4 linked regions of the Xenopus tropicalis genome follow. The protein of the gene in region 2 interacts with the protein of the main gene of each other region in a pairwise test. Links are inferred from orthologs where the notes say so. Each region holds a gene or a part of one and is shown on either strand. Other genes may lie near its edges.

Region 1 (7,348 bases), on a different chromosome or scaffold from region 2:
ATCATATAATACCAAATAAATGTATGAAGGTCTACAATATAAGAGACACTGGAGCAGATTCACTCAGTCGCACCAGTGCAGTTACCCACAGTAACCAATCAGATTTGTTTTATATTAATTTTCTACATTGTGGCAATCTGATGAAAACAGGAAAGGCCAGTTTCAATGTTGCAGAAAACTGCACCAGCCCGGGGTACCTGCGAGTAAGCGATCCTATTCCTTCTCATTCTTTAGCGCCACTTTCACAAGAGTGAAAAGCTGAACTGTAACAAAGAAAGCCAGCTTTTTCACTCTGCCAACAGGAGCACCGGCCTGGGGTACCAGGTAAGTGATTACAACATTTGGCACCCCCCAGTGATTGTACCTCTCCTTCTCCTTTAATATATGGCAGGTGTAAAGCCTGTAAGTTGCTTTCAAGGCATCCAACAGCACACAAAGGCAAATGTACTGACTGCCATGTTTCTTCTCATTTATAAAGTTATTAAAGGCCCCACTGACACCCCATTCAATCCTGCTCAGAAAGTTTTTTGGAGACTCACCATTGCATGATGTTTCCGTACTTTAGTGATTTGGTCTGCTTTTGCCTCCATCCTTTTCACAAGAGCTTCCAGCTCTCTTTCTAGATCCTCCTTTAAGTGATCTGAGTGCGCCTCTTGGATTTGTTTTACCAGTTCTTGGTGGTCACTAGAAGACACATTGTTTGAATTAACTATTATGTCAGTTGCCCTGAAATAAATTTATCTTACATCCCAATGCCACAGACTTCACCCTCCAGAACACAACCAATCAAAAAGCACTTTTACCTCATCCAGCTTTAACTAATCTTGGCTCTTACAGCGTCTCCAGATGCTGGAGCCTTGGATGTCTAGCCTATAGAGAGGCCTATAGTGGGAGAGGAGATCTGAGCTTGGGACCACCCATCTAGATACCTCTTCTTTCTTTTTAGGCAAGAATAGATAAGCTGGGCATTGTTGCACTGCTTCTCTCTTGTCCTTTTGGGATATTTCTTTCATCTCTTACTAATCTGGTTTGTCTATTGGGCAGTTTAAACATCAAGGTCATATTAAAGCACAGTGGGCATCACTGGAGAAGGAAAGGCATTTTAGTGCCTATAGATCAGACACAATATTGCCACCTAGAACACTATATTTATTCTGCAGAAAGCTTTACCATACCTGAGTAAACAGCCCTAGAAGCTCCATCTGTTTGTTTAAGATAGCAGCTGCCATTTTTTTTTTAAATAAGATTTTATTTTGAACAAACATTACTAATAATTATCAGCTGACATTTTAGCTTGGTCTCAGTAGCTTTCGTGCTGCAGCTCTAGCTGCTGGTAGCTCAGATTACAGCACAGTTTGAAGGGTGAGAGAGAAGTGTGCAGACTTCGGCCCCAGGAATGAAGGATTTTTCTAAGAGAGGAAGTCAGATACCCTAAGAACAGGTTTACAAAAAAGGAGACAAGAAATCCTGTTTTTTTTTTAAAAGAGGACTCAGTGCAGCGTTTCTGCGAGCTTTCTGATAAAGCTTACTTTACCTTTCATTCTCCTTTAAGGGACTCTGCAAGTCTTGGCAGGAAATTTTAGGGACTTGCATCTAGGTCTCTTCCTGTTGGGAGAGGATCTCACCAGTATGCTGATGTGGTCCTCACCCAAGGGGATTTTCTCACCTGTCTGATAAGAGATCTGCCCAATATTTGGCCAATATGCTGCTCATGCAAATGCACGATTTTTTTTTTTTTTTTTTTTTAGCAAAGTGTCTAACCAAGCTTTTATGATAACAGGGATGATTGCTGTGCAAGTTCTGAGCTACCTCAACAGATCCAGCATCATGTCATTAACCTCACAAACCTTTTACAAACTCACTACAAAGGGCCCATCTCCCAGAGAGCCCTGTGGGTCCCATGGATTCTGGTTATCAGAATCCTCTTTTGCCAAGCACAGACGAGCATATTCCCCCTGCAAGGGCTCTAGCCTTTTTTAAATTAACCATTTAAACTGAGGAAAGGGATTCATCATAATGCAGATGATGTGCTTAAAGTTCAATATTGAAGCTCTGAAACAACTTACAAACTCATCTGCCCAAACTCATCCTCCAGTGTGAGCAAAACCTCTGAAAGGTCTTGGTAAGAGCGAGAAGATAAAACTGGGTCTGGTGTCCACCTTACTGCACTCTCTTTCCTTTCAACAGGCTGATCGCTCACAACTCGGTCATTGCACAAGAGTTTATTATGTTGCTTCATCAGGTGCAAGACATGCTGGACATTGGCTCTCACGGAATAGCTAGTGCCTGTGGACTAGAACCAAAAATATCAAAATAAACACATGTGCAAAAAGACAATAGACACATTCTATATGCTTATAGAGAGCTCTATAATCTAGTGCGGCACTGTCCAACTGCCAGCATCTGGCCCACAGAATGTAGGAGCAGTGCTAGCATTGTGTCACTGTACAGTACAAACTGTTTATTTGTTGAAGTGGTCATGACCAGTTGCAGGTTTCCCTGTCGCATCACCTACTCTTCCTGCCCTGCTCTATCCTGCCTCTGTGTGCCATACTCTGCCTGCCCTAAGCTGCCTGTGTGTGTGATACTCTGCCTGCCCTATGCTGCCTGTGTGTGCCATACTCTGCCTGCCCTACCCTGCCTGTGTGTGCCATACACTGCCTGCCCTACCCTGCCTGTGTGTGCCATACCCTCCCTGCTCTATCCTGCCTGTGTGTGCCATACTCTGCCAGCCCTACCCTGCCTGTGTGCCATACCCTCCCTGCTCTATCCTGCCTGTGTGTGCCATATTCTGCCTGCCCTACCCTGCCTGTGTGTGCCATATTCTGCCTGCCCTACCCTGCCTGTGTGTGCCATACTCTGCCTGCCCTACCCTGCCTGTGTGTGCCATACCCTGCCTGCCCTATGCTGCTCGTCAGAGATGAATCTGGCAGGGCTTTGTTCTGGGAGTTTATTAGCATCTGGAAATAGTTGTCATGGGATCCCTAGGTGTGTAATTATGTGCCTTTCTGTGGTACCCACAGGGGAGGAGTGGCTAAGAGTGTGGCTTAATATGACATATTAATCTTCTTTCACGTATGAGTGATAAGTGATATCCCTGCAGTAAGTACAAACTATTTGTGTTTTAGCTGCGCAACCACCATTATTGTGGGTATGGTTTTAAAAGCTCTTGTGATAACATGGGTGTGGTTTGAAGTGGGTGCAGTGTAAAAAAAGGGGGTAGTCAAAACTGGCTTCCATTATCGGCCCTCCACCACATTGGCCAGAAAACGTCCAACCCTCAGTACCACATTTATTGCCACTCAGTGTGTCCAGTTTCAGCCTTGCTGAGTAACCATTGTCAAATGTACAGCTCTCTTAAAAGGTAGCTTGGGTTACGTAAGCACATGTAAAAGGGCATCAAATAGGAAATGGATTCCCTAAAAGAAAATTTATCGAAAAAATTAAGACTAAGGTTTTAATACCTACCTTTCCAGCAACAAAGGGCACATCTCCTAAGCTCAGGCGATAGTGGGGCTGTAAGTGTGAAACACTGGAAAAGGTGGGTTTCTGGAATAGAAGAAAGAACACAGCATATAAATAAAGAGCAAAGAGGGTGCACTAGAACCAAACTCTAGGTAGGCCCACAAAGAATACTAGCAGCACGGAAGGACCAAATACCTTTTCCAGCTGCAGTGACTTTATGTTTTTTGCCTTCACTTGTTTTGATGGAGGTGTTAAGGAACGGAGCAAAATTCTGTTGGTTTCCAACCCTGTTTGGAGCTGGAGGAAAGAAAATATTTTAGATAAAAATGTATTTATTTATACAAAAACGGAAATAAACTAAATTAGGCACCTCCCTGTAGAATGTGCTGAGAGTAACTTATGACAAAACTGGTCCGGTTATGCCAAGTTCCATTGCAAATGGCATGGTATGTATTAATCATCTAATCATTTGTATTTCATATTACCAACTTATTAATGCACTGTTAGGCAACTAAATATTTATTATTTATTAGTATTGTTTTGAAACAAGTTCCATTCACTGTTTTGATAAGCTTTCTTATTGCAATCACATTAATGTTGTTAAGGCAATAGCATAAAAAACCTGATTTTGGTACCAAATCCCCCCACTGCCTGCTGTGCTTGTCCACCTATAATCAGGTAACTGACGATTGGAAGTATGGCAGTCACTTGCACTACACATATATAGCTATTGCAGGCAAAAGAGCAGAGTGATTTTACATCATTTGGCTTACCCTTGAGCTACTTAAATTTACACATTCCATATACAGTTGCCTTTATACTATAACAACAACATACAGTAATGAGATCACCAAGTTTCAGACAGGATCGCAAGCTGAAGAGCAAACAGTATTATTACCTGGGCTGCTTTTTCCTGCACAAGTTTGCGCTGATGCTCCTCCTCTCTCAGTTTCTGTTCGATTTCACTGATTTTTTTCTAAAAAAGCAAAATGGTGTCATGTGACTTTAAGGAATACGGTCATAGGAAAACATGTATTTTAAAAAAACCTATCAGTTATTAGAGCTTCTCCAGCAGAATCCTGCGTTGTAATCTGTTTTTCCCATGGGGCTAGCCATATTCTTCATTTCCCAGAGTGCCACAGCCCTGTGACCTGTGCTCTGATAAACTTCAGTCACACTTTACTGCTGCGCTGCAAGTTGGAGTGATATTCCCCCCCCCACCCCCCCAGCAGCCGATCAGCAGAACAATGGGAAGGGAGCAAGATAGCAGCTCCCAGTAGGTATCATAGGAGTAGGAGAAACAATAGGTTAGCTCAGGGGTAGGGAACCTATGGCTCGGGAGCCAGATGTGGCTCTTTTGATGGCTGCATCTGGCTCTCTGCCAAATCTTTAATAAAAAAAAATTATGGGGGGCGTGACCTGCGCTTGGCGGATAGAACACGTCTTCTATCCGCCGAGCGCAGGCTACGCCCTTCTCCGCATCGCATCCGGCATCCTTGGCACCCACCCTACCTTGCCCCTGCGCCCAGCGGATAGAACACGTGTTCTAAGCCTTAAAACGCGTCTTCTATCTGCCGAGCGCAGGCCACGCCCTCCTCCGCATCGCATCCGGCATCCTTGGCACCCACCCTACCTTGCCCCACAGCCAAACGTATTGTATGGCTCTCACGGAATTACATTTTAAAATATGTGGTGTTTATGGCTCTCTCAGCCAAAAAGGTTCCCGACCCCTGGTAGCTGAATGCAGTTCTAATGTGTAGCGCTGGCTGAAAGCTCAGACTCAGACACAATGCACTGATATGGCGCCTACACACCAATATTACAGCTACAAATACATTTGTTGGTTCAAGAATACAATTTTAAATGGCAGAGGGAATTATTTGCTATGTAACAGTGTCATTTAGAAATAAAAATCATACCATAAAAATCATAACAGTATCCCTTTAAATGTGTGTAAATTTGATATACAGGTATGGGATCTGTTATTTGGAAACCCGTTATCCAGAAAGCTCTGAATTACAGGAAGGCCATATCTTCTATAGCCTCCATTTTAATCAAAATTCAAATGAAAAAATTATTTTCTTTTTTTTCTATAAAAATAAATCAGTACCTTGTACCTTATCCTAACTAAGACATCATTAATACTTATTGGAGGCAGAACACTCCTGTTGGGTTTAATTCATGTTTAAAATATTTTTTTTTAGCAGACTTAAGGTATGGAGATCCAAATGACAAAGATCCCTCATCAGGTCCCGAGCATTCTGGATAACAAGTCCCATACCTGTATATACCAAATAAAATAATAGCAGGTGAACATATAACGTTTTCCCTATTTCTTTGGTTCTAATAGCTTCTACAAAGGCAATAATAGACTTAAGTAGGACAATTAATGTGAAAACATAATATTTTAATTCCAGTTATACAAAAATAAGTGCATATACGCACGTAAACAGCACTGTTCATACAACAGGACACTGCTTCAGTGCCTAAAACATGCTATGTATTATGCTTAGCCTCCCCCAAATTCTGGCAAAGATTGTTAAGTACAGGAGGCTTGTTTTCCAAAGTACTTATACAGTGCAGAACATATATGATGCTCTATAAGAGAAGCTAATCAAGGCTGTTATTATCTTAGTTTGCAAAAAGCTCTTCTACATGGAAACATGCACAGCAGCATCAACAACTGATGCTGATGAAGTTCCCCTGTGATCCCCAACCAGTGGCTCAGGGGCAACATGTTGCTCCCCAACCCCTTGGGTGTTGCTCTCAGTGCCCCCAAACCAGGGAGTTATTTTTGAATTCCTGACTTGGGGGCAAGTTTTCGTTGGATAAAACAAGATTTCCTACCAAATAAAGCCCCCTGTAAGCTGATAGTATGCATAGAGGCCCCTAATAGCCAATCACACCTCCATGAACTTTTATGGTGCTTGTGTTGCTCCCCAAGTCATTTTACATTTGAATGTGGCTCACGAGTAAGAAAGGTTGGGGACCCCTGCTATACGTGTACTAACAGTCTGCTGTTATGAGCTAGCTTTAGACAGACTGGACATTTACACGGCAGAATATTTTGGTGAGGTAGCCTTTACCAGTAATGTTTCTGTAGATGCTTGAATATAAAGGAAGCTGCTACTGACCTCTGCTAGAACTTGCATTGTAGTGAGTTTCAGGTATTCCTGCTCAAGCATATCCAGCTTCTCTAATCTGGCTTGGATATTCAGTTTTTCTAGAACTCGGTTGCCTTCAATGGATACCTTTAACGGAACAAAACTTGCAGTAGACTGAAAAATGCTGATTGGTTGCTATGAGCAACAGCACTCGTACAGATTAGCAGCTGTGTTTGTAAATATGCAGGCATTTTAAGTAGGATATAGGAACTAATCTACTGTACAGCGCTGCATACATAAGTATCGCTTTATAAATAAAGATACACATACATACATACATATTAAGCTACAGCTAGAGAGGACATGATTAAAAGGGACCATACCTGCTTCTCCAGCACAGACGTTCTCTCGCTTTCTGCATTTTTCACCATGTTTCTCATGTATTCAAGTTGCTTCTCTAAAAGGTGGCAACGAGTCTCTGCAGCAGACAACTGGCCACACAAGTCTAAAAAGAAAAAGAGAGTGCATAAAAATGGTATGGTAGACAGGTTTTATTTAGCTCTCATGCTAGCACTCATTTCAATAAGTTTTTTTTTGTTTTGTTTTTTTTTACAGTTTTGCCTTCTTCCTCTTTCTAGCTTTCAATTGGGGGTCACTGACCCCAGCAGCCAAAAACGATTGCTCTGTGAGGCAATCATTTTATTGCTCCTTTATACAGGTATGGGATCTATTATCCACAATGCTCAGGACCTGGGGATTTCCAGATGAAGGATCTTTCC
Region 2 (8,124 bases):
CATAACCTGCCAAATTTAAAATGGGAGTGGTATTTAGAGGGTGTGGTCAAAAACATTTTCTGCCATGCTACGCGTGCATTTCTTTTTCTCCCTCTTTGCATTTTTCAAAATGTAAGGAAGTATGCTTACTGGAACACTCTTAGCATTACAGTAACCTGAGAGAGCAGATCCAGTGAGAATTCCAGTGAGTGTAAATAACAGTCAGGGCAGCAAAAAGTACACAGTAAATTGCTAAAGATGCTTGGGAGATGTTTTGTGATTAAAGGAACAGTAACACCAAAAAATAAAAATGGTTTGCCGACTTTTTTAAAAGCAAAGTCGATTCTATCCACAACCATTTCTCACAACCTTCAGTTACCAGTAATCTCAACCTTCCTAAATCTCCTCTTTCTGTATTCAGCTTCTTTGATCTTTGAACAGAGTCTGAAGTTTCTCAGCTTCTCCGTTTCTCTCGCCTACTACCTGCTCACTGGATCCTATGCCCTCATCACCATTAAAACCTGCCTATATAACTTTTGTCCGGTCTCTCTCCTACCCCTAGCCTCTAAACTACTGGGACGTCTTAATTTTTTCTAGTGTCACTAACTTCCTCTGCACCCATAATCTTCTGGACCCTATGCAGTCTGGTTTTCGGCCTGCGCACTCCACTGAGACGGCCTTATGTAGAGTGGCAAACGATCTCCAGACTGCCAAGGCCAAAGGACACTACTCAGTTCTCATTCTCCTGGACCTTTCCTCTGCTTTTGATACTGTTGACTATTCTGTCCTTATGCAAATTCTCTATTCTCTGGGTATCAGGGATCAGCCTGCATCCTAGTTCTCTTCCTATCTTTCTAACCGCTCCTTCTCTGTTGCTTTTGCTAACAAATCCTCTACCCCAGTTCAGCTTAGTGTGGGGGTGCCTCAGGGCTCTGTACTTGGTCCTTTGCTGTTCTACTTATACACTCTCTCTTTAGGAGACCTTATCTCTTTGTTTGGTCTTAAATATCACTTATATGCAGATGACATCCAGATATATTTAAACACCCGTTCACTAACCACTGATGTTCAAACCCAGATTGCTAACTGCCTCCTGGCTATCTCCTCCTGGATAAACCAACGTCAACGCTAACCTAGCTAAAACAGAGCTCATTTTCTTCCCCAAAACTTAGCCCTTCTCCTCCTTCAACCATTACCATTGACGGCATGACCATTCAGCATGCTGCCTTAGGGTTATCTATAATCAATCTCCTTCTCTAACCATATTAATAACACTGCCGAAAAATGCTGTTTTTTCCTCCGCAATATTACCAAGATATGCTCCTTTCTTTCATAAGTAACAGCTAAAACACTAATCCATGCCCTTACCCTTTCCCGCTTAGATTACTGCAATCTCCTACGAACCGGCCTCCCAGACTCCCACCTCTCTCTCCTGCAATCAAACTTAAACTCTGCTGCCAGGATCCTCCTGCTCTCTCCAAAGAGGCAATCTGTTCAGCCCCACAATCGCACTAGCATTAAGCAAAGGATAGCATACAAAATCCTTCTGCTAACCTTCAAAGCCCTTCACTTCTCTGCTCCTCACTACATTTCTTCACTGGTCTCTCTGCACATTCCTGATTGTCTCCTCCGCTTCTTATAGAGCCTCCACCTTTTTCCACACCCACTGCTCTCTCTCGCCTTAAACCTTTTATATCCTGTTCCTTACCTCTGAAACTCTATCCCTGAATTCCTCCATAGTGAACACTCACCCACTCTCTTTAAGAAAAAAACTCAGATGCTACCTTCTGGAGCACTAAAACATTATTTTGTCTAGTCTCGCGCTTGTGCACTCCTACCTTCCAATTTTCCATTCAAGCTGGAAAAAAGGCACAGGTTATATAAGTAGATAACAGATAAGCTCTGTAGAATACAATGGGAATCTATGCACCTCATCTGTTATCTGCTGTGTAACCTATGCCTTTTCTCCTTTTTTTTAGTTTGCACAGCAACTTTGTTTATAAAAACTACAGTAGTGTATCTAATGCAAACACATAAATTTTACCAATGCAGGGCAATATTACATAATACATGAACTACTTTGAAACACTCTAAATTTTTGGTGCTAGTTACGGTGGCCATACACGTAACAATTTTGATCTTTCGAAAGATCGTTCCCACCCTCCATGGAGGGTAGAAATAACAGAAATTCTACCTCCTTCTGCCGATTCAGCCCTTAACATAAATTTTGCCCGGACGGCATCAAAATCTTTTAACGTGGCTGATCAACGAGTCAACCGATATCCGCAGCCTCTTACAATATCGGTGGCCTCATCAAGCCGCAAAACACGCACCGAATCGCGCCCTGAGGCCGCCCCATTCACAGTGGAAAGAAGTCTCCCATTGCTCCGTATGGGAGCAAATTTCCGGTGCAGCGGGACGGCATGCCACCCCTAAATTTTTGCTGCCCTAGGCCAGGGTCTTTGTGGCCTAGCCACACACCCGGGCCTGATAAGTGCGTGTACAGCTAGCTTTAATCTTCTCACCCCCTGTAAGATTAAACGCATACTCTGCTTGCCTCCTAACTCACTCTTAACTGCTGGGATATGAAGAGACAACCTCCCTCATCCTCCCTGCTTTTCGGCCTCCTGTAGGAGCTCCACTGTGGCTGATCCTTTGAAATAAGATACAATTCCCCGCTCTCTCCCTCACCCAACGCCATCCCCCGGTCTGATTTATTCATTCTTGTAGTTTCAAACACAGCGTGGATCCAACACCAGCTATGCAGTATCATGCAAACTGCTAACATCTTGTACTTGAGAACCGGAACGGTTTTTATGTTACTGCGCGTGCGCATTTTTTTTTTCTTCAATATATATATATACTTTTATATCTATTTCTTCCGCCATGGTAACCACTGACCAATGAAAGCAGCTTCCGCCTCTCATGTAGAGGTAGTCGAGTGCCTGTTGTCAATGTTAGCCAGTGTCGACCAATTAAAAAAGTTTTTACCACTATAAGCCGCGCCTTATTCCAATCAGATTGAGAGGCGAGTCTAAAGATTTGATTGGCAGCTGAAGTAGCCAACGCGCGCTTTGCTCCACGTCTGCAGGATTGAGAAAGATGGTTGATGTTGTAGGTAAGTGAGGCTGCGGGTTTTCGCTTAATGGAAATGTGTGATTTTAATGTGAAGGTGCCAGGGAAGCTTTTGTTTTTTTTTTTTTAAATTAGTTAGTTGCCAATTGTCTTTAATAGCCATGCTGCTGTGTTGAAGAGAAGACGTCTCTTTAGGCAGTATTAGTGCAAGCTTTACTTGATTGCTGCTTATCCATGACTTCCAATATGCTGGCAAATATCGGAGGTGGCCTTAAATAGCAGTTCCAGTATAATGTCACCCGCATTCTATTTTCATCAAGGATTTCCAAGTTGAACCATACTACCAGCTGTTCTAAACTACAACGTAGTGTTCGAGTGATACAAGGCTTTGCCCCAACTGGATGTCTGATCAGTAATTACTAGTAATCTACTTGCATTAAAACAAATGAAGCCTTTATCTGTACTGCTGGCTTGACAGCCACGTAGGATGGATTTTAAAACCGTGCAGTTTAAAGGCAGAATTTGGCAGCAGTGTTAATATTAACATTATATCTGTAAACTTAGCTGACAAACAAAATGGCAGCATACATGCACAGTAAGGAGTTAGGCTTATTGTACATGCACATGTCACTTCAGGATGCTATTTCCTAGTGTGGTCATGTGATCATCCACCTGATCTCCAGGACTTTAGACCACCTAAGAACTAGCATATGCATGCAACTATTTGCTCCTATTTCACACACATGTATATATAATTTTTTTTAACACCAAGGCCAGCAAGCAGTATTTAGTGGTAGCTTCTAGATGTGCAAAGCTGGTAGAGACATACCCTAAAAGACTGGCAGCTGTAATTGCAGCAAAAGGTGGTTCTACAAAGTATTGACTCAGGGGGCTGAATAATTATGCACACCCCACTTTGCAGTTATTTATTTGTAAAAAATGTTTGGAATCATGTATGATTTTCGTTCCACTTCTCACGTGTACACCACTTTGTATTGGTATTTCACGTGGAATTCCAATGAAATTGATTCATGTTTGTGGCTGTAATGTGACAAAATGTGGAAAAGTTCAAGGGGGCCGAATACTTTTGCAAGCCACTGTATTTCCAACAGTGTCACAACTCACACAATACCTATCACATCCAAATAAAAGGAGAAGGAAAGGTTAAAACTATTTAAGCTTTATCAGAAATGTCTAAGTATAAACACCAATAAACACTCACAGTAATGCTGCTCTGAGCCCCTGTGAAAAGAAACATGTCATTGCTTTGCTTCTGTTGTTCACACATGGGCTTCTTTATCATACTTCCTCTCTAGCTAAAACACCATACCCCGGGAAGCCTGCCTGTGCAGCTCGCTTCTTTCTCCCCTTCTTGCTATAAACTGAGCCCAGAGCTATGACCCAGCCAGAGACTTAGTGCAGGAGGAATTGGAATTTATATCACACAAAGCTAATATAGCAGCTATTATCCAAAACAAACAGAGATAGCTTTTAGGGCTGTTCACTGAGGTATGGTAACGCATTCTACAGAATAAATATAGCTTTCTAGCTTGCACTATTGTGGCTAATCTATTGAGAGTATACAGTATCAGTAGGTTTCCTTCTCCTTGAAGTTGTTAGTCGCTGTGAATGCCACTATACACATACAAGTACTGTGAGGGCCAAACACTGAGATACATAGTCAAGAAATTTGACTGACTTTGGCCTTACAGCCTAAAGCTGGCGATACACGTGGCGATCTGACGATGTTTCGTGCGACCATCGGTCGCACGAAACATCGTCAGATGTGCCACACACCATTCAGGGCTGAATCGGCAGGTAAGGAGGTAGAAACAATAGGATTTCTACCTCCTTCTGCCGATTCAGCGCTGAAGGGAGATTTTGATCAGGCGCCTTCTATGGCGCCCGATCAAAATTTTCCAACTGGACCGATCGGCGTGTCGGCCGATATCAGCAGCTTCCTGCGATATCGGTCGACTCGCCGACATACCATACACGCACCGAATATCGTACGAAACGAGGTTTCGCACGATATTATCGGTGCGTGTATGGCCACCTTAAGCTTGCTTACTTTTCTAAGCCCATATTTCAAGTTTATACAAATCAGCCTGCAAAATCTGGTCTTCCATCACCTCCTATTGGCTAATATTAAAGCCATATCTGACCTGCAAAAAGAAAGAAACTTTGTAAAATACAGTAATTAAACATTTTCTATGTTTTAAAGTTATTTGTAAAAGCAATTGAAAACAGTTTTTGGTTCTATTGCTCCAAATCTTTAAGACACTTCCACTGCTCTGCATATTGATTGTACTTCCTTTATACACCTTTAAAGTGGACCTGTCACCCAGACATAAAAAGCTGTATAATAAAAGTCCTTTTCAAATTAAAGAAAAAACCAAAATCATCTTTATATTAACACATTCAAACCCATTATAAAGGCATTTAAAAATCCCAGCTGTCAATCATATATTAAGGCATAGAGGCGGGGCAGACAAGTACTTTAACTTTCAATTCAGCTCACACTTTCCCCCTCCCTCCTCACCATCTAATTGTGTAGCCAATGCATGGGCCTGGGCATCTGGTCCCCCATTCTGGCACATACACACGATTTTGGGGTGATACAAAGCTTGCCTTAATAACTGTGTCCACAAAATTGCAGCTGCCTATTTGATGTGATTGTGTAATTCCAGGACTGAAGGAAACAAGATTTATATTACTTATATAGTGTAAGTGAAGTTTATTTTGCTGAACAAACACAATAGAAAATAATTTAAAATTATTTCTTAGGGTGACAGGTCCCCTTTAATCTTATTATGCTTATTTGCCAGATATTTTTTAATACTGATTCTGTTTGCTGTCTTCATATTTTTTTTTTTTTTTTATCTACGTCTGTCTTTTTCACGTCTTTTTTAATATGCAAGGAACTCATTTCAGACTCCCTCTTTTCTTCTACTTTTATATAAAAATCAGAATGCTAAGCTGATCTGTTACCATGGAGAAATTAGGCATGAGTTTTGGAGGTGGCCCAAGTAAGAAGGAACTTCAGGAGCAGGTAGAAACTCAACGGAAGCAACTACAACAGTACCAGGGTCGACTGAAGGATGTTGTGCGAGCATACAAGAGTCTTCAGAAAGAAAAGGAGGCCCTTGAGGCCAGTCTCCATGTACTTTCCACTACTCAGGAGCCAGGCACTCTTTTCTCAGAATCTGAAGAGGCACATGATGACCAACATTCCATACACAGTGAGGATAGTGTGGACACAGCAGGTAGTCTTCCCAGTGCTAGAGGAGGTGAGACGAGTGAGGATGAGAGACCAGATCCTTCTCAACGAGGTGGAATAGAGGAGGCCAGTGGTTCAGAGAGTGGGGTCAGCACTGCCAGTGGAGAGGGAGGTCAAGCCACAGCAGTTGAGACTGACCGTAAGATGGTGCAGCTGAAAAACCAGCTTTCTACACTAACTAGGTATGTAACTTAAATAGGTTGTTCCCCTTATTACACTTAATTTATTAATTTTTTAAATTTGTGACATACAAAGTTTGTTTATATTAAAGATAAAGGGCTAAGTGTCAAACAAACAAAACCATGTAACAACCCCTTTAACTGTGTTTTAAAGGAGAACGAAAGGCTAAGTCACCTGGGGGTGCCCAAATGTTAGGCATCCCCAAGTGACTTAGATCGCTTACCTTGTACCCTGGGATGGTGCCCCTGTTAGGAGAAAAAAGCACCAGCCCAGGGTACCTGTAGGAAGCGCTTCCTCCTTCCTCTTTCTTCTCCCAGTGAAATCCGTCGGCCGGTGCATGCGCAGTAGAGTAAAAAGCCGACTTTGTTTTTAAGTTCGGCTTTTCACTCTACTGCGCATGCACGCGCAAGCGAATAGGAAGTAGGAAGCGCTCGCTGCTACCCCGGGCTGGTGCTGTTCTCTCTGTACAGGGGCACCAGCCCGGGGTAAAAGGTAAGCGATCTAAGTCACTTGGGGGTACCTAACATTTTGGCACCCCAAGTGACTCAGCCTTTCCTTCTCCTTTAAATATAGAAAGAACTCAAGGAACAGTTTAGCTTGTTTATGCATATCATATGTATGTTTATGAAAAATTAAGAGGAATGAAAATATGATGGAAATAATGCTTTATATAAACAAAGCTGCTGCTGTGTAGCAGTGGGGGATATCTATCGTTTAAATTAACTAGTAGTGTTTCTAAAGCAAACGCACAATTGTTACCAGTGCATGTTTCTTTAACCTTTTTTCTCAAGTGACGAAAAATTAGTTTGAAGAACCAGCTTCATGACTAAAATTGGTTTAGAATTATATACATTGTTTTGCTGACTATTTTCTACTGTAGCAGTATATCCAACTTTATTCACTGTTATCACACAGATCAATCTTGAACAGTGTGAGGCTCCATATTTGGGTCCCAAGCCATTGGTTAAAATCATTTATTTTATATTTGTACTCTGAGTAGGTGGATTCCCAGCATATATGTTTGGCATGTAACTTCTAAATACAGGGATACCAAGCATATAAATATATACATTAAGCATATATTTGTGTAGAGGTAACAAACATAGACTCAAATCTATTTCAATGCATGTTTCTTTTTTTTTTTTTTTTTTTTTTTTTTACTATATTCAAATTAAACAGTCTGTCAACTATTTTCCTGCCTCACAGTGGCATATATATTTGCTTACCTTTTCCCTTAACAGCAGGTTAAAGTTTAAATCCTTTGTATCTTATGAAAAAAATAAGCTTTTTGGCGTTTTAGCAGCTATCTGGCTGCTAAGGTGCAATTTTACCAAATAACCAGACAGTGCTTTGAATGTGAGACTGTAAGAAGAACAGGACAGGAACAATAGTGTTTTTTTGGCCAACAGGGTCAGTGACCCCCATTTCAAAGCCTATAGAAAATGCAGACAAGTTGAAAAGTTGCTAAGAATTAGACATATCTAAAAAATATACTAACATTAAACATAAGGGTAAACTACCAATTTAAGTATATTAACTCATGCATCTAGTACTCCATGTTATACAAAACACGTGACTTTTGATATAATAAACAAATACTGTATATTTTT
Region 3 (8,038 bases), on a different chromosome or scaffold from region 2:
ACTGAGGGGAGCCCCATCAACACACATCCACTGGCGGGAGAGCCCCATAACCTGCACTTACCTATCCTGCAGAGTTCAAGCTTCTACTAGGAATTACGTTCAAAGGGGCAGAATGATGATGAGAGTGCTGCATTTAATGCCCAGAGAGTTGGACTACAACAGACCAACCCTATTATTATGGAACATCATTTGTTATCTAATGAGGAGGAAACAGCAGCTTCTCCGTTTGATTCTGCCTTCCAAGCAGGTGATGAGCGAGTCACAGATTCTGTGATCGATCGAAATAATAAGTGGATTGCTGTTTTAGTGCCTTTCTGCTGCAGATCACCTGTGGGTCCTTGAGCTGGCTTCTCAGGAGGTCCTGGGTACAAGGCAGAACCAACAATCTCTTGCATTGTATTCTTCTGGATCCATCCTGAGGTCTGAGGTCTACAAACCAGTAGTGAAATTAACACATGCTACCTTTCTCACATTTGATGACAGACAGGAGGGCATTGATTCCTACCTGAAAAGCTTTGAAATAATTTGTGAGGATTACAATGTTCCCTGGGAAGAGTGGCCAAAAAACCTGGCAGGCAAGAAAACTGGCAAGGCCAGTGACATCTACAGGGAATTACCCTCAGCGGACTGACTAAGAAGAGGTTAAAAGATTTATTCTTCAGGACCCCATGGCTTAATGGGAAGACTTTCTGTGGAAGGTGTATCAGAGCTGAATTCTCTGTAAGGCAGAGACACAGGAAACATATAAATATGCATTAACTGGCCCCTGCAACATGGAACTACAGATTTAACCAGAATCCAGCCAGACCTGTACATTTTTCCCAAGCGGTTTTGATTCCCAGTGCGTCTGGGCATCTCCCAGAGAGAAGAAAAGACTGCATTTTAAATCTACTGCTTCAGCTACCCTTCACCCATTATTGTTTAGACCGTGTATAGATTTTTGTGGGATGCTGGAACTACCTTTCTGTTATCCATAGGATGATTTGTTGCTGCTGTGTTACTTTACAAAATAAAGTTAAAGTGTTTTGTGGTTACTCTCCAGTGTTCTTCCATATTTCTGTTAGGTCATTTTCATGACACTCATCATTTAATTTTATGAATTATAATATAAGAGCAAAATAAATATGTAAAAATGTAACACATGAAGAGTCTGATGTGTGTATGTATTAGGAATGATGGAGTTAGACGTTGCCCATATACCATGTAGTTCTGAATAACAGGGAAACACACAAACACACAGCACCACATTTATATCCAGCAATACAGAGGGAAGTATCTCTGATTCTATGTTACAGTCACTCATAGCTGAGAGGAGGTAGGTTAGGAAGGATATGTCAGGTTGACATCCGTAAAGATGTCATGGCTTACCCTTAGCAGAGTTAGATTTTCTTCCGTGCTCTTAGGATGAAAACATACATTCAAGCCTCCGTAAATATCTCAGGTAGTGCATCTCCCACTTGAATATATAGATGAAAAAGTCTAGAAATTCTGTGCTCAATAAGCAATACTTAGGCTGAAGTACTGTACTCACTTCCACTTTTAATGGAAATTATACTGATAGTAATACAATATATACACACTGTGTTTTCCAGTAGTACAACAAAAAGAAGCTTTTAAACCATGACCCAACCCAAATACATGTGATTTTACTAGAGGCAGCTGAAGGCAAAAACCTTTATTCACACTCAGAGTCTCTTCAGTTTTTCCCACGAGCTGGAACCCTATGCAACTGAAGGCACAACTCAGAAGGCTTTCCTTATTTGCCTGTAGTTTATCGCTGTAACTGAAGATGCTTTAGCACTTTATTACAAACACACCATGTCACACACAACACGTTTGGGTTTTTTATCAATTGTGTTATGAGTAAATAGGTGAAACCGCAAATATGTTATAAAGTGCTAACTGCAAAATATAAGGCCTATGGCATGTGTAATAGGGGACATAAGAAAAAAACCTGTTGCAAATCAAATATTTGATTCTAAATATTTACTTGTGGACATTCCTTTTAAGCCTTTCTTAACCTGAAGGTACCGCATGAAGGGCCAGGAGCAGAGCATCTAACTCCTTTCACTTATAGGCAGGTACATCATATACAGTAGTAGAACTTGCTTAGAATTACAGAGACACCAGTCTGCAAACACAATCATACATAGGCACCAATGGCAGATATACCAACCCTTTGCACTTTCAAATGCCAAGCCACTTGGAGAAGTGGCTTCTCTGGGAGAAGACACCTACTATATATTGCAAGGCATTGGTTGCAGTTCCAGTTTAACACAACACAGGGTGACAGGAACAAAACACTGATAGGCAAATAGAGAAACTACACCCATCAATCACTGTAGAAAGTAGGGAAACAGTGGGTTACAGTGGGGACATTGCTAGGTACCAAATGCACCTCAGTAAAAGCCTGTACCCACACCTGTAGGGAACACCTCTCTACTCCCTTCTAATGTACATCCTACTGTCGTTTTCATGCCTTCCACTGCCTTCTCAACTTCCCAACACTCTTCTGCCTTTTCCCTTTTATACATGCTTTTCTTTTTAGAACATTTTTTTCCCTCCAAACTGTTTTTTCTTTTCCCAATTTTTCTTTCCTCGTCTCTCGTTTATGTTTTTCCTTATACCAAATACATGCCACCTTTTTTGAATATTTTTGCTTTGCTGGCACAAGGCGTACTGCACAACCAACATTGTTTGTCCAATATTTAATAAGGTTTGGAATATGTACAACCATATATTAAATATAAATACGCAACTAACCTCGTATTCTTCGACGTAGCTCTTTCCTGACGCAAGGTGGCAATATGTCACCACGGCCTCTCTTTCCAGCAGTCCCCGTCCTGTTGGTAGGGCGCTTTCCGGTTTAATGGCGGCTTTGGTGCTCAAGCGCTGGGGCTGAAGCCGAGGGATGAAGCGGGAGAGACGTAGGGGGAATGCGGCTTCGGAGCGGAAAAGAAGAGCTCAGGTGGCGGTACCGGAAGGGATCAGATCTGTGGGCTGTGCCGTGCAGCTGGGCCGAGATGAGCGGATCCAGGGTGAGAGTGTAGGGAGGAAGAATGTATGGAGGGATACAGCTTTCAGAGTTACATGGATGTAGAGGCGCAGAAACGTGTTGGTCTGTAGACTGCAATACATAAAGTGGCATATTTATTCATTTTGGACAACTATTCCCTTATAAATTAACCAATCAAATATTTGCTTGTATCCTTCCTATTTATGTGTGAACATAGCTGTGATATGTTACTATGGGTTATTGTCTAGGAGCATATTTATGTATTAGTAAATATAAACTAGAAAAAACAATATAGCAGCATGTAGTGGGTTTTAGTGTTTGTCACTATATGAGTTTGCATTAACTTCAAAGGCTTCCCTTATTTGTCTGTGGTTTTTGGTTGTAATTGAGGAAACTTTGACACTTTATTACACACCATGTTTGCGTTGCCCCGTCCCTTTATCAAGTGATGTGAAAGCAAATATAGGAAACCCCAAATATTTAATAAAGTGCTAATTGCAATGATTCTGCTTCACCCTCCTGCTGTTTAGTTCCCTTTTGGGTACCATGGTACTATGACAGGGTATTATTAGAGCTATTTGGTCATATGGGCATCTCATTTGTGGCTTATTTGGCATGAATAAGGCTGCAGTTTGCCACCAGAAAGGATGTACAAACTCTTATTTGTGTTCTTTGCCATTATAAATACTCTTTCTTTGATTCCTATTGGCTTTCAGGCATTGGCAAGACTGTGGGCACTGGGTACTGCCGTCTCTGTCATGGCAAGTTCTCCTCTCGTAGCCTGCGCCATGCTTTTGGGAAAGTGCCAGTGACAGGTCTGAGCTCAGAGAAGCAGAAGCGCCTGGACCATGTGTTCTTTGCCGACTTCCATCAACTGGTGGGTGTATCTGTGCGTCAGGATCCCGAGCTGCCGCAGTTTGTGTGCAAGCACTGCCATGCTCAGTTTTACAAATGTCGCAGTGTGCTGAGAACTTTCATTCAGAAAGTAAACACTTCGCCTACCAACCCTCATGGCAACAAATCTGAGTGAGTGTTATTCTGCTTTTTTATAGCATCTCCTCAAGTCACTGGGAAAGTAGCTCTTTGCATTGAAATGGCACAAAATACTGTGAGAAGTGTTGGGGCCTGAAGTGAAAAGCAGCTGTACTGAGAGTGACTTAGTATTCTGTGTTGTTTAATGGAGTTGTTGCAGGATAATATGATAAAATGTGCTCGCTTTATAAATATTTGTTACTTTCAGTTCATTATAATTTATGCATTGGTTATTATAATAGGTAAAGCCTCCATTATCTGTTTGTTAATATGGGTGAGAACTATAACGCCAACTAATGAAAGTGCTACAACCTTTGCTTACAAAAACAAACTATAATCAGTATGGCTGCATGTAAACTTACATAAAAGAAGGCAGCCAGCTTAGACACCCTGGAGGACACAAAAATGAATGAACTGCATGCCAAAGTGTCCCCTTTGTGATAAGCTGGCTTGCAGTATGACCTGATAGTTGTTGTGGAGCAAAATGGTTCAGATCATTCTGATTTGCCCTAGATTGTCTGTGGGAAGTAGAGACCTTATCAAACAAGTGTTTTTTTCCACGCATGCCCACCTTTACTTAGGGGCTGATTTACTAATCCACGAATCAGAATGGGAAAAATTCGGATTGGAAACGAACATTTTGCGACTTTTTCGTATTTTCTGAGATTTTTTTAGTCGCCGTTACGACTTTTTCGTAGCCGTTACGATTTGCTTGTATATTGTCGCGACTTTTTCATATTGAGCGATTGTAAACGGTGGGCAAAACTTTCAGACTTTGCATGATTTTGGAAGCCTCCCATAGGACTCAATGGCACTCTGCAGCTCCAACCTGGCCCAAGGAAAGTCACGATACTGAAGCTTGAATGAATCCGAAACTTTCGTACTCGGCGCGACGGCTACGAAAAAGTCGCGACAATTTGCGCAAGTCGTAACGCTACAAAAAAGTCACGACAATTTATGAAAAAATCGCAAAATACCGATCATTGCGAAAAAAACGCATTTGGATGCTTTTCGGACGTTCGTGGATTAGTAAATGTGCCCCTTAGTATTGGTACACTCTATATTGTTTTTTCCGTAGGTACAACATCAGGCAAGTATATGTGTATTGTGGCTTTTTAATTGTATGCTGAGTATCTTTACTTACTAGGTGCCAGAGTGAACCACTAAAACATGCCGGGGGTTGAGCTATGAATCTTATACGGATTTGTTCATGCTTTTCAGTAATTTTAAGATAGATAATGCTCATTGCTGCATTTTTTTCATTCAGCAAACACTGGGCAGTCGCCATTCCTGCATTTAAGCCCCCGAGTATGTAGCCAAATTATACATTCTGTGTGGTTGCATGTCTCAAAAATCTTGTGTGTGACCAAATAATGCAGACATGGAAAATCAGCTCAAATCTACTGTTTGCTACGCACAATTGATTTTATACTAGACATCCTATGTAAGGACTACATTTATTTTTGGGATCTATGTTAGCCAAAATATTGTAAGGAAGCGGGAATAATGCTTTGGGGCTATATGTGTCCTCTAGCAACTGTATCTTTTCTTTTTGTTGTCCCAACAGCAAAATACATGATGTCATCGGTTCTACCACAGGTCCCTGTGCAGGTAAAACATTAGCTTATTGGCCTTCTTCCCTTACATACCAAATTGTGTATGCCATAAATAAAAACACAATTTTTTGAAAAGGCAGATAGTATTTATTTTAAACATTCTGTATACTTGTATACTTGTATTCTTGTATACTGCATACAAGTATTATGTAGTTTACTTATGCCTCCCTGTTTACGTACAGTAGAAGTGTATAAATAATTATATATATAATTATTATTAAAGCTTTCATAATGGCTTGTCTGTAATCACATGGTTACTTTATATAAGTTTTAATTTGTGTAGTGTGATCACTCACAATTCCACACAGATTTGTGAATGCTTTTTCTTGAATTTATAGATTTAATCACTTCAACTCCTGAATGTCTACATAGCCTGGTGAACTGGACACACAAACATGCAGGAGGCTGCTCCTTCCTACCTATACTGCAGAGGGTGATGGCCACACAGTACTGTGGTATTATACAAGCAGTGTGGGAGTGTGGAGGGGGACATGACTATATCATGCAACCAGATTCAGATTGCATCTCCTCACCTGCTCAACCAGAGGAGGAAATGAGCCCCGAGCAGGGCTTAAGTGGCAATGGAATACACCGTATTAACACAAGGACTATACCTGATTCAGAGTACAACCCCCCTGATCGAATAAACACCGCATCTGTGCTTCTTGATACCTGTGTTGTAGTAAATCATATCACGCAAAACAGAACACCTTCTCCACCCTTGGCTGCTCCAGACTCATCACAAGGTAAGATAACCTGGCCATATGTTTAAAGATGGTGGCTAAAACAGCTGATCCAAACCTTGGGCCATCAGGTAAATGATTGGATCACCTGGGGGCCAGAAAAATCTGAGTGGTTTATTATGGGTACATTGACCAGGGGCTCTTGATTTATGGAATTTTTCTCTGAATAATCCCCAGCCAGGGGTCCTGTACACAAGACATTGGACTGCAAATTTAGTTGGCAGTGACCATATTAGCAGCTGGCATTTGAATTTTGTAGAGTTGGAATCAGAATTAGATAAAATGGTCTCTGCAGTATTTTAAAATATATTATTTTTATATACATAGTCCTACATTTCTTGTAGAAATCAATATTTAAAGGGGATCTGTCACCTTAAGAAATAACTCCAAATTATTTTCTATATTGTTAGTTGAGCAATAATATAATATAAATCTTGTTTCCCTCCGTCTTGGAATTACTCAATCAAAGCAAGTAGGCAGGCACCATTTTGTGGACACTGTTATGAAGACAAGCTTTGTATCATGCCAAAATCTTGTTTATGTGCCAGAATGGGAAACCTCATGCCCATGCACTGGCTACACAATTAGATGATGAGGAGGGGGGGGAAGTGAGATGTGCAGTGTCATCTAGGTAGTGCTGAATGGAAAGCTGAAGTTATTGTCTGCCCCGCCTCTATGCCTAAGGCATAGAGACGAGGCAAGCAATATATGATTGACAGCTGGGATTTTTAAATGCCTTTATAATGGGTTTGGATGTGTTAATATAAAAATGAATTTGGGTTTTATGTTTAATTTGAAAAGGACTTTTATTATACAGTTTTTATGTCTGGGTGACAGGTCCTCCTTAAGTCACTTTTCCACACTTTCTCTTCCTTTATTACACCTGCCAGATGGGTGTAAGCATTTCTCTGCTCATGATCCTGCACAGGGTCAAAGCTTTTTTTGCATTCAGTCCTATCAATTTTATTTTTCCTCCTTAACCAGAACTAAGAGCTGAGCATCTCTTTTAACACACAAAATAGCACTGCACTGCCTTTTACTTGGCTGTAGGCTGCCAGTGTGAAATCCCTGGTTATTGTCCCTTAAGTGAACATGAGGCTTTTCTGTTTTGTAAAATTCATCACTGGTCATATTTTTTGGCCTTCTGACCTTGCCAAAATAATTTTTTTTTCTGAAATGTATAACAGAGACAGCAATTGTCAACAACAGTGTTATAGAAAAGCAGGTAACCACTTAGTCCCAGGATAGATTCACTGACTGAGCATAATTTGCTCACAGAAATAATTTTACTAGAACAAATTGATGACTGTAATGCTCTGATTTCTTGCGAGGTGCTTTCCATTATATTAGAGGTTCCAAAACTGTAAGACTGACTTCCTAGGAGGACCTTGAGCCTAGGCTGGGGGTCCAAACTGCAGTTCTATTAGGGTAAAATTTAGGGAAAATCCCTATTTGCCCTTAATAGCCCTAGAAGCCTAGATTAAAGATAAATTAGATTAATATTTAAAGAGAATACTAATAGGCTGCCCTAAATATATAACCAAATACCACTGATACTGCAATGGTTTCATAAATATGTAAGTTTATTTTAAAGCTTGAACCAAAAAAAGTCCACTACCTGTAAGAGAAGT
Region 4 (8,007 bases), on a different chromosome or scaffold from region 2:
TCATAGGAAATAATAGATTTCAACTGCATTAATAGAAACTGATACCCCTGAACAATGACCCTATAAAAATATATTGCATAAAACAGCTCATATGTAAAACCCTGCTTAATCTAAATAAAGCATTTGCATAAAAACTCTTTATTAGTATGTACCATTGGAAATATTTATTATGAAAGTATAGTTTTCCTTAAACCTTGCAAGTCAGTGTGGTAAATGGCAAAGGCTTTGATAGGTGAGAAAAACATTAACATTTTACACGGAAACTTGAAGAAATACCAAGGAAATGTTAATAATTGGAATACATGAGTACAATTCAAATGGACAAGAAAAAGCCAGAAAAATCATAATGTGATATTTGATAAAGATGATCACATGGAGTAGCTCATGTGTTAAAACTAAAGCAATGCCCTGTACTAATTTTGCATTTTTTTTCTGGAGAACAATATGGTAAGCCATCTCATGAATTAAACACCAATTACAACAACTGCCAGTACAGACACAAAAATGTTTCCACAGGAAGGCTAAAAGGCATACATATTGCACACAGCTGCATTGCGTGTTCTCCTAGTTATTTTTATTCTCCAAACAGGCCAACAGTGAATTGCAGTGCAAAACCACTCAATGACAGTGATAAACAAGAATAAAATAAAATGGTCTTTTCATCTTCAACTACTGCAGCTCTACACTGAGCACAACACAAAATAAATCATGTACATGCCCGCAATTAAAATTTTTTTTTTTTTTTAAATCAATTAAATATTTAACTGAAAGCACAAAGGGCAATTCTTTTGTAGGTGACCTGTTTAAATCTAAAATTAAAAGCTGTAACAGCAGGGTGCTATAGTTCTTAGGCTAAATTCACAAATAGAAAAAATAAATGAATGAATCCAGGTAGAAGAAATTTAGCCCTAATTCAACATATTTATTACTATGATGCACAAATAATAAAAATGGCACCTACATTTTTATTTAATCACTTAATAAAATATTCCTTATTTCTTTCTTATTCACCAAAGGAAGTATTCCTGAACATGAATTTTATGCTAATTCTTTTGAGATGATAATAAGTAGAAATCAATTCTCATTTTCTTTTTATTGCACATTCTCATTGGATTTACACTGAAACCCCTACAGGTCATTGCAGCAGAATATGGTGAACACAGCTATTAACTCCCTGTTGGTTTGCACTAAAATATTACATGAGGGATGTCAACACCATAGCTTTATAGCAGGGAGGCATACATACATAATACTTCACATAAATATTTGGACTAAACCAGAACCCTAATAAACAAATTAAAATATGAACTGAAGTTTTTCTGTTAAAATGTTAAGGTTCTAGAGCAAAAAAAATGTATTTTTGCTATTTGGCCAGTAAATTTTCAACTGGTTCTAGCAAATCCCAAAAATGAGAAAATTCAGCCAGCTCCCAAACCTGTCTTAAATTAAATCTTCTTACCAGTCATAGGTAAATGTATGAATAAGAAACCAACAACACAGACAAAAAAAAATCCCACTCACTATTCCAGGTTTAAACAACTTTCCAAACCTTCTATATTAAAAAATTTAAGCCCAATGCTGGCAATATTAGGTCATTAATACATATATAATACATCATTCATTATTGGGTCAATTCTAAGCATTTTACTTTTTGTAGTTTTAGCACATTTACATTTGCAATTCCGTTTTGAGTCAAGATCAACATGATAACGTGATTTACTGAATCGGCAAAAAAACAAACCAAAACTAAGTATTACAGATAGTGAATCTATTATGCTTAGGACATGGGGTTTTCTAGATAAGGGGTCTTTCCATAATTTAGATCACCACACCTTATGTTTGCTAAAAATAATTAAAGCCCAAAATAAACCCAAAAGAATTGTTTTGCCACCAATATGGATTTGTGGCTTAGTCAGGATCAAGCACTATTTGCTTATAATGGATTCTAAGGGGATGAACTTGCCATAATTCAGAATTTTCTGGATAACAGGTTTCGATTTAACCAATCCGATTTCTTTAATTTTTATTTCATTTTCAAGAACTTCTGAAATCAACAGATGAAATGAATATACATCAATCTATTTGATCATTGTGGCTCTGTAAGACATACTAAGGTGCAAGTGTTGTGCCTATACAAGTTATTATTAGTTATTTACTGAAAGGAACAGATGCCAAAACTCAACATAGAAAAAAACTATTTTTTATAGTTCTTGAATTGTTTGCTTTCTTCTTGTAAGTCTTGGCAACTTTTAAATGGGGGTCACTGATTCAGGTCCTCTCCTCTTTATATATCAGTCTCTAATTCAAACATCACCCTGGTTGCTAAGGTAAGTTACACCCTAGCAACCAGATAACTGCTAAAGCTCCAAACTGGAAAACTGCTGAACTACAAATAATAAAAAAAGACCAATTGCAAATTGTCTCAGAATATTACTCTCTACATCATACTAAAAATTAACTCAAAGGTGAACGACCCCTCTAAGCAATTGGAAGTGTAACTGCTTCCCATTCAACTGAGTGTTGGAAGGAGTAAAGTGTGCTTCATCTCCTTTTGGTAGTCAGAAAGGAAACAGCCACATCAAACCACCACATAGTTGTAATTAACCTTCCAAGCAGTATGCAGACGCTCCACAAGAGTTTTTAACAGCTAAGCACATATGTGTCATGGGAAACGTAAGATGCATTTCCTAATGTAAACCTGCATAATTAATAAAAAAGGGACAAATCAGGGATGTCTCACACATTAATTACATGCTCCCTGTGGTAATGAAACCCTAGGGCAGTCACTGCATAACTGTATATAAAGCCCATACCATTTCATCAGTGTTCTACTCCATAAAACTACAATTAAATATATATATGAAAGATAAGCATTTCACAATATGACAAATAATGTATTCCATGACTGAAAAATATACATTGGTGTCTGTGTGAAAAATTAACAGCCTAAGAATCAGCTTTAATAAACGTGTGACATGGGGGGTCAGGGCATGCAGCCCAAAACAAGGAAAGAGAAAACCTACATATTCCATAGGCAGGAGTATAGGCTCAGCTCTGATACACTGCACTTACTGCTTATAGCCAGCTCTTACCTACAGAACAGGTATGCAGGTTCATTTTCTTTACAACTGTACACTAAATGGTAACATAACCAAGATATTTTGAATCTCACCAATTGCTTAGTAGCTTCCTAACATCACACACATAGTTGGCATAGTGGACATGTCTGGAATAACCCAACAGCCCATAAAGTGTAGGTGTATTCCAGTATAATGCTCCTGACTGAATGAACCATGTGACTGGTGAATGGGGGGGGGTGGATTTGAAGCAAAGTAACCTATTCTTGGGGGGCAACCTATGGCTCAATATTGATACTGGCCATTTTGGCAATTATAGGAGGTTTAAGATTGCACTCTTTACACTCAACCTCAATTGCCTCAATCTTACATTTTTACTGCACATTCCCACATAATATGATGTCATTTGCTATAGAAAATGCAGTAATAACATCTCCCCCCCTGCCTGTAGGAAGAGTGGTGTGTGCCACGTGATGCTATATATAAATACATGGTGACGTGACAGCAAGGCTTGCACAGCTACCCGTAAGGGTCAATATTGCAATAGGGTGAAGAGTGGGATTATTACACTATAATGTGCGTGCATATCCCAACGTGCCTGCCCATCACGGTGCTTTCATTATACTCAGGATCATCACACTGCATTTCACTAGTCATTTCTCTGTAAGTCCCAGCATCCCTCCCTCTATATAGGAAAGCCTAACTAGAGATGCCGGGACATAGACCGCAATCACATCTATACAAAGCTGCAGATCGGCGGTGTACGAGAAGCCCAGTCCAGTATTCCCTTGCCCCTGTCTAGCGCTACATCACATTCACAGCTCTAAAAAGTCGGACCTGTATGTAATTGTTCTCGCAGTAGTCGGCCACCCTCTCTAGGTTTGTGTAGCTGTCCAGCAGGGCCCGCCGGCCGCCCGGAATCTCTTCCTCCAGCAGCATCTGCAGCTCCGCCATCTTTTTCACCACATCCTCCTCCTTTTGGAGCCCCGCTACACTGCGGAGAGATGGAATGGTGAAGCGATCCTCGGGAGCGCGCCCTGCGCGTAACTATAATTAAAAAAAAATCCGAGAACGCGCTCCAAAAAAAAGGCGGCGTGCCCAATAGGATATGCACTTCCACGCACTAATCCATGGGAAACGCATGCGCACAACATAGGTAGGCGGAACCCTGGAATACGCGCTTCTGGCCGTCCTGCTGCATCCTCATTTGAAAACTCGTTTCCTAGCAACAGAGAGACACTGAGATGGAGGAATGTGGGAATAGAAGGGACGAAGGTGGTGACCGTTCCAGCCCTCTCTTTTATCATCCGTAAAGCCTAGCGATAATGAACATATAAGCCCAGTGTTAGTAATAAAAATAAGAACTTAACAAGGAACACAGCAAATTAGAAATGGCTTGAATTTGGTAATCATACTGCCTAGTTGCATAATTAGAAGCTATGGGGGATGTACATAAATATCATAGGACCCTCAAAATTTGGGGGAAAAGTCTCCTGCATTTATAATAACAAATTATGAATTTAGTGCTTCCCTAATTCAAGGTCACATGGTTTCTTGTTAGCTCAGTTTAAAAAAAGACATAATCTGCCTATTGGCCTGTTATCAAAATGATGGCCTCTGATTATAAAATGATTATAAAGGTCAGAGATGGATCCAGAAGTTTAAAACACTCAATTGCCATGGAGCATATCTGACCATGGATGCAGTCCCTTCCTGTTGGTTTGCAGGGCTCCTGATCATTACATTGGGTTCTAAACAATTGGATCAGATAAGTTTAGTCCACCAGTGGAAAGGTTTTTACCACAACCCAGATAGTTTTAGTCTTAAGTACAGGCCAGATTACATGATATTTCCAATGCTTTATAATTAAACACAGGCCAGATTACATGACATTTCCAATGCTTTATAAAGTTTGTCATGAACTAAAATTAAAGTCAGTAGTTTGAGCATGGCTTTCTGTTGCTGGTGCTGGAAATTGTTCTGCAACTGCTTAAAGTCCACAAAAGGATCAGCTCTTCTGAAGGTCAAAATTGCCAATGATCTTATTGAATACAGCGTTGAGTGAATAAAATATCAAGGAAAAGTGCTTTAGACATAAGCATAGGTCAGATCACATCATGTTTGTGATCATTTTTCATTGTTTGTCATGTACTTAAAGTAAACCCAGTAGTTTGGGCACAGCCTTCTTTTGCTGGTGCTGGAAATTGTTCTTCTTAAAGGCAACAGAAAGCTCAGCTCTTCTGTAAGTCAAAACTTCTAATGATCCTTTTGAATAGAGGAGTGAGTGAATAAAATATCAAGGAAGAAATACAAGAGCATTATGGATCATGTTTGTTTTATCAGTCTGAACTACCACCATCTGCAAATGCTATAGAACCCCAGCAGCTTCCAGTACTTTTTTTTTTAACTTCAGCAATATAGGACTCACTGCAGACTGTATTAAAGGAACAGTAACACCAAAAAATGAAAGTGTATAAAAATAATATATTATATACTATTGCTCTGCACTGGTAAAAGTTGTGTGTTTTCCTAATAAACACTACTACAGCTTATATAAATACCCTGCTGTGTAGCCATGGGGGCAGCCATTTAAAAAAGGAGAAAAGGCACAGGTTACTAAGCAGATAACAGATAAGTAGCATAGTTTCCCATTGTATTCTACACAGTTTATCTGTTATCTTCTTATGTAACCTGTGCCTTTTCTCCTTTTTCAATTTAAATGGCTGCCCCCATGGCTACACAGCAGCTATTTCTATTAACTATAGTAGTCTTTCTAAGGCAAACACACAACTTTTACCAGTGCAGGGCAACAGTACATCATATTTTAATTATTTTAAAACATTTTATTTTTTAGTGTTACAGTTCCTTTAACCACAAGGCCTGACTGAACTAGATCTCTGACAAAAAGATTTTCATTCAAATAAATCCTGATGTGCCATTCAGTTTGTCTGCATTTATGCCCCCAATGAAGACTAATATTGAAGAACTAAAGTTCATATTTCTTTTTTTTCACAATTCCTTTTTTTGTGCTAAAACTTAAATTTTTCATGACTTATTAAACATAAGAACCACAAAAAAATACTAATAAAAAACATTGCCATTTTAAAGCTGTCGATATCACTTGGAAGGGAGTTGTCCTAGGCAAACTGTAACAATGTGTATTTAATTTGTGGTTGTTGAGGTTTTTGCTTTTTTTACATGTGTAATTCCATGAAGATTTGTGGAAAAACCGTAAAAACCACAAAAAATGTGTGGTTTTGTGGTTTTACATTTTCGGCTGCATTTTAATTTATTCATGCTTTTTCAATTCAGTTCTTTAAATTAATCACTAGACATTCGTGGTTTTAGTGGAAATGAGTTTAGTTGTGGTTTTAAAAATCATGGAAATCAAAATATTGATAATTCTGCCCTTAAATGACTGCAACATTTAGAATAACTGAAACTCAACAAATAATTTGGCTAGACATGTTGCATCTTATTGTATTGGGTTTCTGTACCAGCACAAAGCAATCACAGCCCTTTAGTAGTCAACATATGTACTCAAAGTTGCTCCTTGTAGTTCCCCTTCTAGTTCCTCTTCTGATTTAAAGTACATATTTAGAACTCATGACTGTTACCTGAGCTCATTGACCTGAAAAAATACACTATATATACACAATATTACAATACAAGGCTGATTATAAAATACATAATCTGTACATGACATGGTGACTATTAGCACTATAGCTTTAGCTTCTATGACAACTGTAACCACTATCTATAAATATTTTTGATTGTTTTCAGTACTCCCTAAACATAGCATCTCAACAGCAGCACAGGGAACATTGAGCCGCTGACACACAAAAAAGATATGAAGATGGCAAACTGCTGAGAAAAGCTTCAAAGGCATGGATTGTTTCTGTCATAGGGCTGCTGAACCACTGAGCTGGTAAAGTGAGTTCAGTATAAAATATACAGTATTTCTAGCCATATGCTATTTCTATTTTAGGCTATAGTTCTCATTTAATGTTTTATAAGTAGGACAGTTTTATATATATATATATATATATATTTATAAAAAACATAATTTCTTTTAAAGGACAACTAAACACTAAAAACGAATATAGCTGGACATGCTATATTTCATATAATTAACTTACTGCACCAGCTTAAAGGTCAAGAATCTCCATAACGGTAATAATCCAGGCATTCTTTGTTATCATAGGAATTTGCCATCTTAAATTTTTTTTCAGTGATACATGCTTAATGTTAAGAAGTTAATTTTAGGGGTCATTGCAAATCAGCAAGCAGAAAATGAGGTTTGCCTGTCATATAGGCTGACCCTGCAGAGATGATCATTATATTCTGATGCTCTGCACTGGTTGCAGTTTCCATTTAATCAGATTTGAATTATGTAATTTATATTCTACATATGTATATACTGTATATTGGGAGTTCATTCATAAACACAGGCAAAATAACAATAATGCTGTTTCCATGGAGAAGGAAAACATTCATCTGGTTCCACAGCTTATATGCTTTTGTTTTACTTTAAAAAAGTGAGGTTTGGTTTGATTTTAGTGTCCCCATACCTTGGTGTTAAAGTTGCAAATTGCTGATACATAAATGTAAATTTGTGGAAATCCGTTTATGAAATCACTATAGTTTGTAAATACATTATGAATGATCTATATTAAATGATAAACTAATGTCTTAATTAAGCTAATGTAATCTGGGAAATAAGCACTTGTGATCCTGACCATTGTGCCAGGCAGTTAAAGAGTTAATCCCATCTTCTTCTTTTTTGGTCATGCATAAAGCACCATACAGGCTTTCACCACCTGAACTCATGGCTTTCTTGGCCCTAAACCAATTCCTGCATATGTTTTAGAATTAGTGTGGAATCGTTTAGTTTAGCTTTTTAAAAAGATGAGTTTTTACCTGGCTATGG

What was found.
Region 1: the proteins of gcc1 (region 2) and cep57 interact in binary tests that used the Homo sapiens proteins (3 or more experiments, as listed by UniProt). The two-hybrid records come from large-scale screens. The link is inferred for Xenopus tropicalis from reciprocal best matches to the Homo sapiens genes GCC1 and CEP57.
Region 3: the proteins of gcc1 (region 2) and znf276 interact in binary tests that used the Homo sapiens proteins (3 or more experiments, as listed by UniProt). The two-hybrid records come from large-scale screens. The link is inferred for Xenopus tropicalis from reciprocal best matches to the Homo sapiens genes GCC1 and ZNF276.
Region 4: the proteins of gcc1 (region 2) and abi2 interact in binary tests that used the Homo sapiens proteins (3 or more experiments, as listed by UniProt). The link is inferred for Xenopus tropicalis from reciprocal best matches to the Homo sapiens genes GCC1 and ABI2.

Annotation. Positions count from the first base shown.
Region 1 is NC_030678.2:164,697,764-164,705,111, reverse strand, and holds part of cep57 (centrosomal protein of 57 kDa), read right to left. Parts: intron 7,075-7,348; coding exon 6,953-7,074; intron 6,717-6,952; coding exon 6,600-6,716; intron 4,442-6,599; coding exon 4,364-4,441; intron 3,763-4,363; coding exon 3,661-3,762; intron 3,550-3,660; coding exon 3,469-3,549; intron 2,294-3,468; coding exon 2,067-2,293; intron 685-2,066; coding exon 540-684; intron 1-539. UniProt on the Homo sapiens protein: Centrosomal protein which may be required for microtubule attachment to centrosomes. May act by forming ring-like structures around microtubules. Mediates nuclear translocation and mitogenic activity of the internalized growth factor FGF2, but that of FGF1.
Region 2 is NC_030679.2:89,146,968-89,155,091, forward strand, and holds the start of gcc1 (GRIP and coiled-coil domain-containing protein 1), read left to right. Parts: upstream 1-2,988; 5' UTR 2,989-3,097; intron 3,098-6,024; 5' UTR 6,025-6,046; coding exon 6,047-6,516; intron 6,517-8,124. UniProt on the Homo sapiens protein: Probably involved in maintaining Golgi structure.
Region 3 is NC_030680.2:59,515,891-59,523,928, reverse strand, and holds the start of znf276 (zinc finger protein 276), read left to right. Parts: upstream 1-2,800; 5' UTR 2,801-2,911; coding exon 2,912-3,038; intron 3,039-3,732; coding exon 3,733-4,042; intron 4,043-5,615; coding exon 5,616-5,659; intron 5,660-6,002; coding exon 6,003-6,410; intron 6,411-8,038. UniProt on the Homo sapiens protein: May be involved in transcriptional regulation.
Region 4 is NC_030685.2:54,195,947-54,203,953, reverse strand, and holds the start of abi2 (abl interactor 2), read right to left. Parts: upstream 4,114-8,007; 5' UTR 4,032-4,113; coding exon 3,915-4,031; intron 1-3,914. UniProt on the Homo sapiens protein: Regulator of actin cytoskeleton dynamics underlying cell motility and adhesion. Functions as a component of the WAVE complex, which activates actin nucleating machinery Arp2/3 to drive lamellipodia formation.